Linked DNA regions of Solanum lycopersicum. The protein of the gene in region 2 interacts with the protein of the main gene of each other region in a pairwise test. Links are inferred from orthologs where the notes say so. Each region holds a gene or a part of one and is shown on either strand. Other genes may lie near its edges.

Region 1 (5,152 bases), on a different chromosome or scaffold from region 2:
ATTATATGATGATTTTTGAACTTTCCATATATAGAAAAGAAATAGAAAGAGATAGACTAGAAACGACATCTGTTATGTCAATGACACCAAAGGGATATTAAATGAATGGAATTGGGTCATGGTTTGAAATTGACTTCGTGATCTTATCAGTACATTATGATTATAAACTAATATTGCACCTGTTCATTTCTTGTTGAACATAGGGCATCTTTCGGCGGCTGATATGAGACCTTATGTAAGGAGTGTTAGACATCAAATCCAAAATGTGAGCTACTCTTCCAGGCTTCCATGGGTTCATCTCTACATTTTACTGTCCATGTTTTCAAACACGAACTTTTAGATTATTAGTTTTGTTTCCTAGTTTTCGGGGTTGCATCCCCATCCTATATTGAATAGAGTTTTGGTGCTACGACTTTCAATTTCTAAGCATTCATTTCGCAATTATTGTTACTTCTGATTGAGTTCCTATAAACTCAACTCTTTCATTGTATTAAATTATTTTTCTTTCTAGTTTATAGTATGACTTGGGTTTAGAAATGTTGTTTAAGTTAAGTTTTGGTTGGTTGTTAGTAAAGGTTAGTGTGGGTGTCACTCATGACAGTTTGAATCGTGACATATGAAAATACATATGTTAGGATGAATTTGAGTTCATATCAAATTAGATTAGATAAAGATGATCACATTCGCTAGAAGTTGCAAATAACACACATTAAAAATATAATGTGAGAATGTCGCTCGAAATGATTTGGAGTAATTCTGTGTTAATCTATAGATGCACCGATTTGTAGGTATGAAACTATAGTAAGTGAAGGTATAAAGAGAAAGTGAGTCGGACCTAAAAGAAAGTGATTGCAGTAAACATGTAATTGTTTGATATCAATACATGTTTAAATGAGATAGGACACAATGAAAAAGATCCATTAAGTTGTTGACAACAAGTTAAAGGATAGATCTTAAACTTGTATGAAGCTTTTATTATTATGTATATATATTTTAACATAGTCTTTTACTTCTTAAAATTGATTATGTTAATAATATAATATGAGCTCAAATGACAAATGAGGATTCAGATATCCTTATCTCAATTTATTTGGAATTGAGTTGTAGGTGATGATATTATTTAACTATTGTGACTCACAATATTTCTTTTTTCGTAATTTTAAAATATAATAAATTTTATATCAATTATTTTGAAAATTCTATATTCTAATTCAGATAAAAAATTAGCTAGTTTGACGCTTATACTCCGAATAAAGCGAATATTATTTTTACTTAATTCATATTGTAGGTGAGATTGATTGTTCTAATTTTATTTGTGATTGAGGTATTCTTGTTTTGAACTTAACAACCCTGGTATTAGAATACTAGTGGTAAAGTATCACTACATATAAAATGTTAAATTTGTCTTATCTTGTTTATGATCGGGATATCCTCGTTTTGAACGAAATAAATAGGGTTTTAGAATACCAATGGTAAAATTGTAAATAAACATGGAAATTGAGTTGATTGTTCTTATCTTGTTTATGATCGGGATATCCCTGAACAAAATGATTCCAATATTAGAATATCGTAATAAAAATAAATAAATATAAAAAGTGAAAATGATTGTTCTAATCTTATTTATGATTGGAATGTCCTAGGTTTGAACGTAACGACGCAAATATTAGAATATTATAGTAAATAAAATGTGAAATTAATTTTTTTAATTTCTATTATGATCGAAATATCCTCGTTTGAATGAAACGACACCAATAATTAAATATCTAGTGAAAATAAATAAATATAAAGTTAAAAAATGATTTTCTATTTCTATTTATGATCAGGATATCCTCATTTTGAACTAAACGACGCGAATGTTATAATATGAAGGTGGTAAAATAGTAAATAAACATTTTTATTTATTATTTTTATCATTTAGTTTTGCAATAAAAAGTTAGTACTTAAATTTAGCTGAGTTCTTCATCTCCGCCTGTGTGTCTCTCACTTCCCTAGGAGAACAAAGATATTGCAGTCTTTTAATCTGTAAGTAACATATATTTTCTTGCATACAACTCCAAAGGAATTTACCCAAAAACGTTGATTCTTGGATGATGCTGACTTAGATCCCTTTGTTTCTGATTTTGGGTATATCTCTTTTGCTCTATGGTTTATGCAATCTTTTTTTCTTTGTAAATATGTATAGCTGTGTTGAAATGCATGTGGATCGGGTTTATTGTTTTGATAAGTTTAGTGATAGATTCATTTGATTTATGTGAATGGGTTTCAATCTGTGTTATGGATTTTTTTTTTTTTGTCAAGAATTCAATTTAATGATTTGAGGTATTTCTTTGTTTGATTTTGTGTCATTTTTGTTGTAGGTATGTGATTTTAGAAATCAAAAAGGGTTAAGTATTTGAAAGTTGTTGATAAATCTTAAGTTTTTTTTTTTTTGTAAAAAAGGGATTTTTTTTACTTCTACATTTTCTGCCAATGCTTTAGTTTGATTGTTCTTGTTTTATTGGATTTTAGGTTCCTTCTTGGGTGAATATTTCTTCTCTATTTTTTCATGTGATGCCATTTTCTTTTAATTTGGAAAAATTGGTTCTACTTTGAATGCACATGGCCTGTGGAAAACTAGGGTTTTGTTTTCAATTTAGGGTTCAATAAAAGTAGGTGTTTTTATTAATAGAATCTTGAGTTTGTGGTCACTTAATTGCTATGCTACTCAAACTCTTGTAGGATCCCGTGGGGTGCGTGTTGGATACTCAAAATTAGTAGTTGTGCTCGGTTATATAAATTCACTACAGGATAAACAAACCAATTAAGCTACGTTGCTTGGATTCTCGAAATATGTTTCCGCATCTGCGTCGGATCCTCAAAAATAAGTGTATTTTTTAGGATCCGAGGCAGATGCGGCAATATTTTTGGGGAGTCTGAGCAACATAGTTTTATGGTTTGTTTTTTATGTTGTGAAGTTATTTAACCGAGCACAACTAGTTTGTGACTAAGGCATAGTTGTCGTTCTTCTTCATTGTATTTTAGGTGTTAAACTATTGTGTGTGCTACACGATGATGACATTCTCTAGTTCTGATAAAAACAATATGCAGATATAGAGGTATGTAGTTATTTTGCTGGGAATCTATGAAAAAATCCATTAGCCATCTGAACTAGTTGTTGAACTAACAACATATTCACCTAGTTCAGTTGCACGGACCAAGTGAATGTATAACTATTAGTACTATACAAACTGAAAAAGTTCTCACCTAGTTTAGTTTTTTTTTTAATCGTTATGTCCTCATCTAGATTAGTCGCATTCACTTAATGCGATCGAGGCGTTACGTCTTTAACAATTACTTTCTTACTCTTTTATCAGAAGGAGGAGCCGCTGATTAGTATTCTTAAGAAAAAGGTATGAACAACAACGGGAACCCAAATAGCTTAGCTAGCACATTGATACCTTTTGTTGTGTAGTTATTGTACCTAAGTTCCGTCAGCAACTGTATTCAAACTAGCATAACCACTCTACATATATTTTCAAACTAGAAAAGACGCTTTTACTTGGATGTAACTTGTCTATTACATTTGTTGTTACGCCGTGCTTTAACATTGAATAGTCTGCAAATCTGATACTTCCTTACTTTCATATATTTTCGGGAAGCTGAATGCAGGTAAAATGATTCAATGATATATTCAAATTTTTGATTTTACAAGTTACGTGAAAGGAAAGAGTTCACCAATAGCATTACGATTCTTTATTGTTTACAAGTTGCGTGAAAAAGAAAGATTTTACCAATTGGATAACAATTTTTTATTGTTTATCGTGCGCGAGATCACGTGTTACGATCAATCAATCATAATATGACCATTTATCAAATATAAATATCACTAAGTAGATATAACGTCCTTTCACCTTACCATTATCGTGGCTGACAGGATTGTTTATCCATACATTTCACCTCCCTCTGTGTTTCCATCAATTCGAATGGTCTTTAACTAATGTTTGTGTTAAATAGAAATATTTGTCTCACCTTCCTTTTCAACTAATGGTACACATTGTTTTCTGCGTATTGAACTTGACTTGATGTTCACTAAAATAAAATCAATTTGTGGCTCGTATTGATAGACTTCTTCATAAAAGTGTTTAGAAGAAAGTACTTTCTAAGATTGTAAAATATTAAGCATGTATAATTTTAACTTCTAGACAAGTTCTAATGTGATGATAGGCAGTGTTATCAAAGGCGGGCTTTAAGCGCGCTTAAGCCCTAAAGCGAGGCTCAAAATGTGTTGAGTGCTTCGCCTCGCTTTATGTGCGCTTTAGTGTCATCGTAAAGGTTCTAAGGCAAACATTTCCTCTTATGAAGAATTTGAGGTTAAAAATTGATACTTCACTTTATCATAATTGTTTTCAATTTCTTTGGTCATATATTTGTCATTCTTGTTTATAATTATTAGTCTTGGACTAAACATATATATTTTATTCTTTTCTCCCTTTGCGCCTTTTTTTTTGTTAAAGCCCACACTTTTTGCGCTTAAAGGCCCCACATACCGAGAGCTTTTTCGCGGATGTTAAGGAATAATTATTCTATCTTAAGTAATTATGTTTTCCAATGACATCTCAATAAAATTAGTAGTTTAAAATCAAATTTTAGTTAGAGATCTCAAGTATATATACAATAGCAAACAAAAAAATAATTTAGTGCAATTTTTTTATGTTTTCGTACTTGTTTTCAGTGTAGTATTCTTAACAACCATAATTCTTGTAACTTCGCATAGTTATATTATAATTTTGTATAGTAAGGACTAATTCAAGTTAATAAGATGTTAATCATGTGTTGCATTGCACTAGCTTGAATATTTTTGTGAATTATTTATTTATTAGTATGAAGATTTGAGTAGTTTAAGTCAAAGTTCTAAAATATTTATATTATAAAGTAGGTATATTTTTTACTTTAAATTTTGTACACTCTTTACATTCTTCAATATTGTCCAACCAAATAAAAAATAAGGGTGAGCAGCCCCTCATGTTCATGCAGCCCACCTGATGTTTGTTAGGAAGCTCTCCTTAGTGAACTTAGTTTTTGACATTATTGTAAGGAAAAATTCTTGAAAGATTATCCCCCTTGTGGGAGTGGCATCTCCTAGGAACTTGAATCTGGACTCTTTCACTCATTT
Region 2 (5,187 bases):
ACAAAGTCATAAATGACTTAAAATAGTTTTAAAAAAACTTAAAATAAGTTAAAAATCAAAAGTAGCTCTCCTCTTACTTTTTATTTTTGACTTAAAAGTCATTTCAGTTTGACTTTTTATTTTTAACTTAAAAACGACATTTATTAAGCCAATCCAAACGGACTCTTACACTATGTTTGGATCATTGTTATCCATTGTATTGTATTGTTACTATATCTATAATGTTTGTTTTGATTGTTACTTAAAATGTATTGTGTTGTATTGTTAATTTTCTTTGTTACGTAACAATTGAAACCCCTGCTTTATGTAACAACCAATTTGGTGTGTTCCCATTGTTACTTAATTTCTTTTTCCAAAATACTATTTTACCCTTTACCTTAATTATTTAAATATAGTCAAACCCTCTATCCTAGAATAATTAAGGATATTTAAGTAAATTTATAAATTACAATACAATACGATACAATCAAACTAAACAATTAAAATGTTATTAAACAACAACAAACAATACAATCTAGCTAAACATTGTATCTATCATATAATACAGTACAATACAATCTAGCCAAACATTGTATCTACCATACAATACAATACAATAGAGTATGATACAATACAATACATTATGAAATAATGGATAACAATGATCCAAACACAGTGTTAGTATTGAAACTAATTATTATAGTAAATATTGAGTTATTTTAATCATAAATTTAATAATTATTAATAAGGATAAAATGAAATGATGTGCCTAATTTGTGTCTCAGAGTCTGTTTGACATTGTTGTTGGGAGGTCAAATATATTTTTTTTTCTAACAAAATAGTGTTTGGTAAAATACAAAACTGCGTTTAAATGATAGCAGGAACAACTTTTCTGCTGTTGGGATAGAAGAAACTTAAAATTTTAGCTTCTTAAAAAAAGTAAAAGAAGCAACAAATAATTTATCTCTTATTAATTAGTTAACCTATATCATAAATTTGATTAAGTTTCATACAATCTTTTTATTTTTTATTTTTCTATAATAATTTTTTATTTTACGTTTATATACTATTATTATTATTTTACATTTTATATATTATTTACAGAATCATATAATAATGTAACAACAACATTTTGTAGGATTAAAAATATGAAGGATTTTATTTATTTTTATGATGAATTTTTTGTATATAGTGGTTTAATTTGCGTATTAATTTTTAAATTTATTTTCTTGATATTTTGAATTATATTTAAGTTATCATGTTAATATTTTGTATAATATTGATGGAAAATTCAAATATGCATATTTCCATTAAAAAATTTCTAACCGATATTTAAAGTAGTTTCTTTCTATAAAGTAATCTTAGTATAATAAAATTACACTGATACTTACACTTTTGCGTAATTTGACTCACTAAAGCATTATTAAAAAAAAGATTAGTCAAACACAATTTGCATATCAAAAAGACTTTTCAAATGAATAAATCAAACACAAATTACTTACTTTCAAAAACAATTTTTTTAAAAAATGATTTTTCAAAACAAGCAATTTCTAACGGTAATGTCAAACAAACTCTTAATCTTATTTTTTAAAGGGTGTGAAACACCTCAACAATTCAATTAATTCGGAATGGAGGAGTACTAACTAGTATTTAATATTAATTAAGGGTAAAATAGACATAAAAAATAGATTATATCTTTATTTTTCAAATTGAACAAATATTATTAAATAACTATTTTTAATATAATGGACAAGTAAAAATATAGAGAATATTAATAAAATATGATATTAAGGTAAATATTTTATGTGCAATAATAATTAATGTTGTCGCATATAAGTTTTTTTCCTGTTTTGGTCACATATACAATGTAATACTGCATTAAGTTTTTTTCCCGTTTTGGTCTAGAGGTGATTCATGCACTTGGAGCCCATTAAAGAATTTCCCATTTAGGCCCAATAAAAAAAGTTATATAAGAAAGAGTTGGGTCAAGCTTAAGCCCATAAAAAAGCGTCACATTTTGGGTGAGGCGAAAGAGAGGGAAACAGTGGCGGCGCGGCAAAAGTGAGTGTTAAATTCTATTGCTTGAAAAATACCACCCCGCCCGCACCCTGATTTCAAGGGAACCAAAAACTGCACCGACGAGCTTTCATCTTCCATCGGTTTAGAGAGAAAGCCTCGTTAACACCAATTATCTACCAGCCATTCTTCCTATTTTTCATACTCTCATCCACTCACTTACTCTTTCTCTCAAAAATACACATTCACTTTGAAGCCCTAGTTTCCCAGATTCTAAATTCAAACTCTCGCTGTCTGTGATTTCTTTATCTGCAAACAAAGGTAATTCTTGAAAATTTGAAATCTTGAAAGTAGTTTGAGGTTCCGTTTTTCCCTTTTTTTCAAACCCCCATTTGCCTAAATCTAGTAGAAACTAGAAAAAGGGGAAACTTGATACATTTTCCATTTTCCGCTAAATTCATGCATTTGCAACTAGATTTTATTTATTTATTATATTTATTCTACTTAGTGTTTCTTCTTCTTCTTTTTTTTTTAATCTCACCTGAATTTAGTTCTGAATGCTCAAGTTAAAACTTTAGGGATGCATGGGTTTTCTTTATTTAATCTTGAAAGTATTTTAAGGTTCCGTTTTCCTGCTTTTAACCTATTGCAAGCATCGTTGCCCAAATGTGGGTAGAAACAAGAAAAGGGGAAACTTGATGCATTTTACACATCACACTAAATTCATGCATTTGCAACTAAATTTAAATTATAATCTCTAATGTCTTGTCCATTTAGTTTTCAATGCTCAAGTAAAAGCTTTATAGTTGCATAGAGTTTTCTTGAACACTCTTTAGTCAGATGAGTTCAAATCTGAATTGGCTGTTGGATATGGTGTATAATTGCAACTCAAGCTTTGGTCTGCCTCTTTCTTACAGATTAATTTCTAAAAATAAAGGTTTGGATAGACTAGCAAATAGGTTCAAGAAAAAGAAAAAAAGAGTGAATTTCCTACCCTTAGGCTAGGAGATAAGTGAATAAATAATTTGTGTAATACTTGAATCTATAGGTTAGTACTCTCAACAGATATCTATTCGTGCTACATATCCTCATTACTCAAAAGGAGATCATTTAGCCCCTGTTCTTTTTTTTTTTTTTGGCTCAGTTGCATTTATGAAGTTTAGCCAAAAGTAGATAAGTTTTTAATAGTGCCTCTGTAGTATGTGATACAATGAGGTACACATTAGAGAAAATGCCAGCAACGAAATGTTAACTAATATTGTATCAAACATTAATCCTCATTATTTTAAGCGCATATCAACATTTCTATTTTTTTTACTCACACATTTAAGTATTTGGTACAAATAAGTATAACTTATTTTTTTTTAAAAATAACTGCAACTTGATTTGATATATATGTGCTCATGCCTCTCTTTTTGTTCTTGTCAGAGAAGCAATATTGGATTTTCAGTTTGGAGTATAAGAAATTTAGCCCTCCTTGGTCTTTGTGAGAATTGAGAGAGTGAATTTCTAGTGATCTTGTATCACTGAAATATTCATCTCTGCGGGAACTTAGAACTTCAGTACAGAGGTCATTAAGATGAAAATAAAGAGAAGAAACTAACTAGTGGAAAAGCAGGTATAGTAGGATTTACATAGAGGATGACTGTCTTGTGAAGACATTTTTGGTAATGCCAATCGGGAAGTGACGAGACTTCAGCTAGAAGATCAAACCGAGATGTCAACTCTTGGAAACACATCTGTGTCACCTGAAAAGGCAAGAACAGCTGGTGGGGGCCATCACACTGCATCAGCAGGTAATATGTCTGAGAATCTTGGTGCTGACCAATCAAGAGAATCATGTGAAAACACAGTTCAAAATCTTAATCAGTCAGAATATCGAGAGAAATCACCTGGTCAGCCTAGAAAAAGAAAATCTATTTCAGGATCCCCAATTAGCAGTACTAGACTTCTACGTTCGAAGTCGAAGGAGAAGTCTGGAGCTTCTGAGGCAAAAAATACTGTGGTAACTCATGATGCTACCGAGGAAAAGAAAAGAAAAAGGAGAAAGAAAAAACACAGTAAACATATAGCTGCGAACGAATTCACAAGAATCAGGGGCCATCTGAGATACTTATTACAAAGAATAAAATATGAGCAAACCTTGATTGAAGCTTACTCTGGTGAAGGCTGGAAAGGACAAAGGTTAGTTACCTTTTATCAGAATTATTATGCTGTAAATTTAATTGATGAATGCTTAATGAAGGTTGGAAAAGGCAATCTTCTATAACTTATTGCAGCTTTATTGTAGTACACAGTTTTCTGACTTGCAAATACTTGAACACTCATAGCAGCTTTTAGCTTAAATCAATATTTCCTATTTCTGAAGTTTGAACAGTATAAAAGGTTGATATTGATGGAACAAAGGCATAGTTACTTTAGTTTATTGAACCGAGAGATGTTACTCTAAAATATTATACGTTAATGCCTGTATACTGGCCTTCTCCTATATCAATAAAATCATTTACCTTATTCAATAACAAAAAAAGTAGTTGGGAAAGAGTACTTTCAAGCTGTTCATGCCAAATTAGTGTTGCTTTGGTATGATGGTCTAATTACTTGCTCTTTACTGGGAGGAAGCAGGTGTAAGCATACTAACCCTGTAGATTTGTATTGTGCTTTGCTGAAATCTGTCATAGTCTAAGGGCAATGGGTTTAGCACCGACTAGATTTTATTTCCCAAATAAGCTGATTCTATTTTACCCCGTCATGTCACATTCATAAGGCGGGGAGAATATTTATGTTTATATGCCTAGTGCATTGTTTTTGTTTCTATAAAATTATCAGCTCTTTGACCTGAACCCTTAATTGCATTTCCCTGCTTAACCTAGCGTAAAATTATCTTGCTTGTATTTTCTATTTATGTTAAAATTTTGAGAACATACTTTTCAAAGTCACTGTTGGGTTTTATGGTCTCGACACTCTTGCAGCTTAGAAAAGATAAAGCTGGAGAAGGAGCTACAACGAGCGAAGACTCATATTTTTCGTTACAAATTGAAAATAAGAGATTTGTTTCAACGCCTTGATACATTACTTGCTGAAGGGAGGCTTCCAGCATCTTTATTTGACAATGAAGGGGAGATCGACAGTGAAGATGTAGGATATGCTTGTTGGCTGCTATAATTTTAGGTGTGTTCACGGTGGTATGATGTG

What was found.
Region 1: the proteins of PHD-finger family homeodomain protein (region 2) and methyl-CpG-binding domain-containing protein 2-like interact in binary tests that used the Arabidopsis thaliana proteins (3 or more experiments, as listed by UniProt). The link is inferred for Solanum lycopersicum from reciprocal best matches to the Arabidopsis thaliana genes HAT3.1 and MBD02.

The regions. Positions count from the first base shown.
Region 1 is NC_090804.1:62,074,719-62,079,870, forward strand, and holds the start of methyl-CpG-binding domain-containing protein 2-like, read left to right. Parts: upstream 1-1,842; 5' UTR 1,843-2,022; exon of another isoform or gene 2,023-2,124; intron 2,125-3,358; exon of another isoform or gene 3,359-3,389; intron 3,390-5,152. UniProt on the Arabidopsis thaliana protein: Probable transcriptional regulator.
Region 2 is NC_090800.1:91,031,167-91,036,353, forward strand, and holds the start of PHD-finger family homeodomain protein, read left to right. Parts: upstream 1-1,993; 5' UTR 1,994-2,316; intron 2,317-3,423; 5' UTR 3,424-3,712; coding exon 3,713-4,179; intron 4,180-4,964; coding exon 4,965-5,130; intron 5,131-5,187. UniProt on the Arabidopsis thaliana protein: Binds only to large DNA fragments. Recognizes a DNA fragment carrying 8 copies of box7 motif of the light-induced cab-E promoter of Nicotiana plumbaginifolia. Also recognizes the box7m1 motif.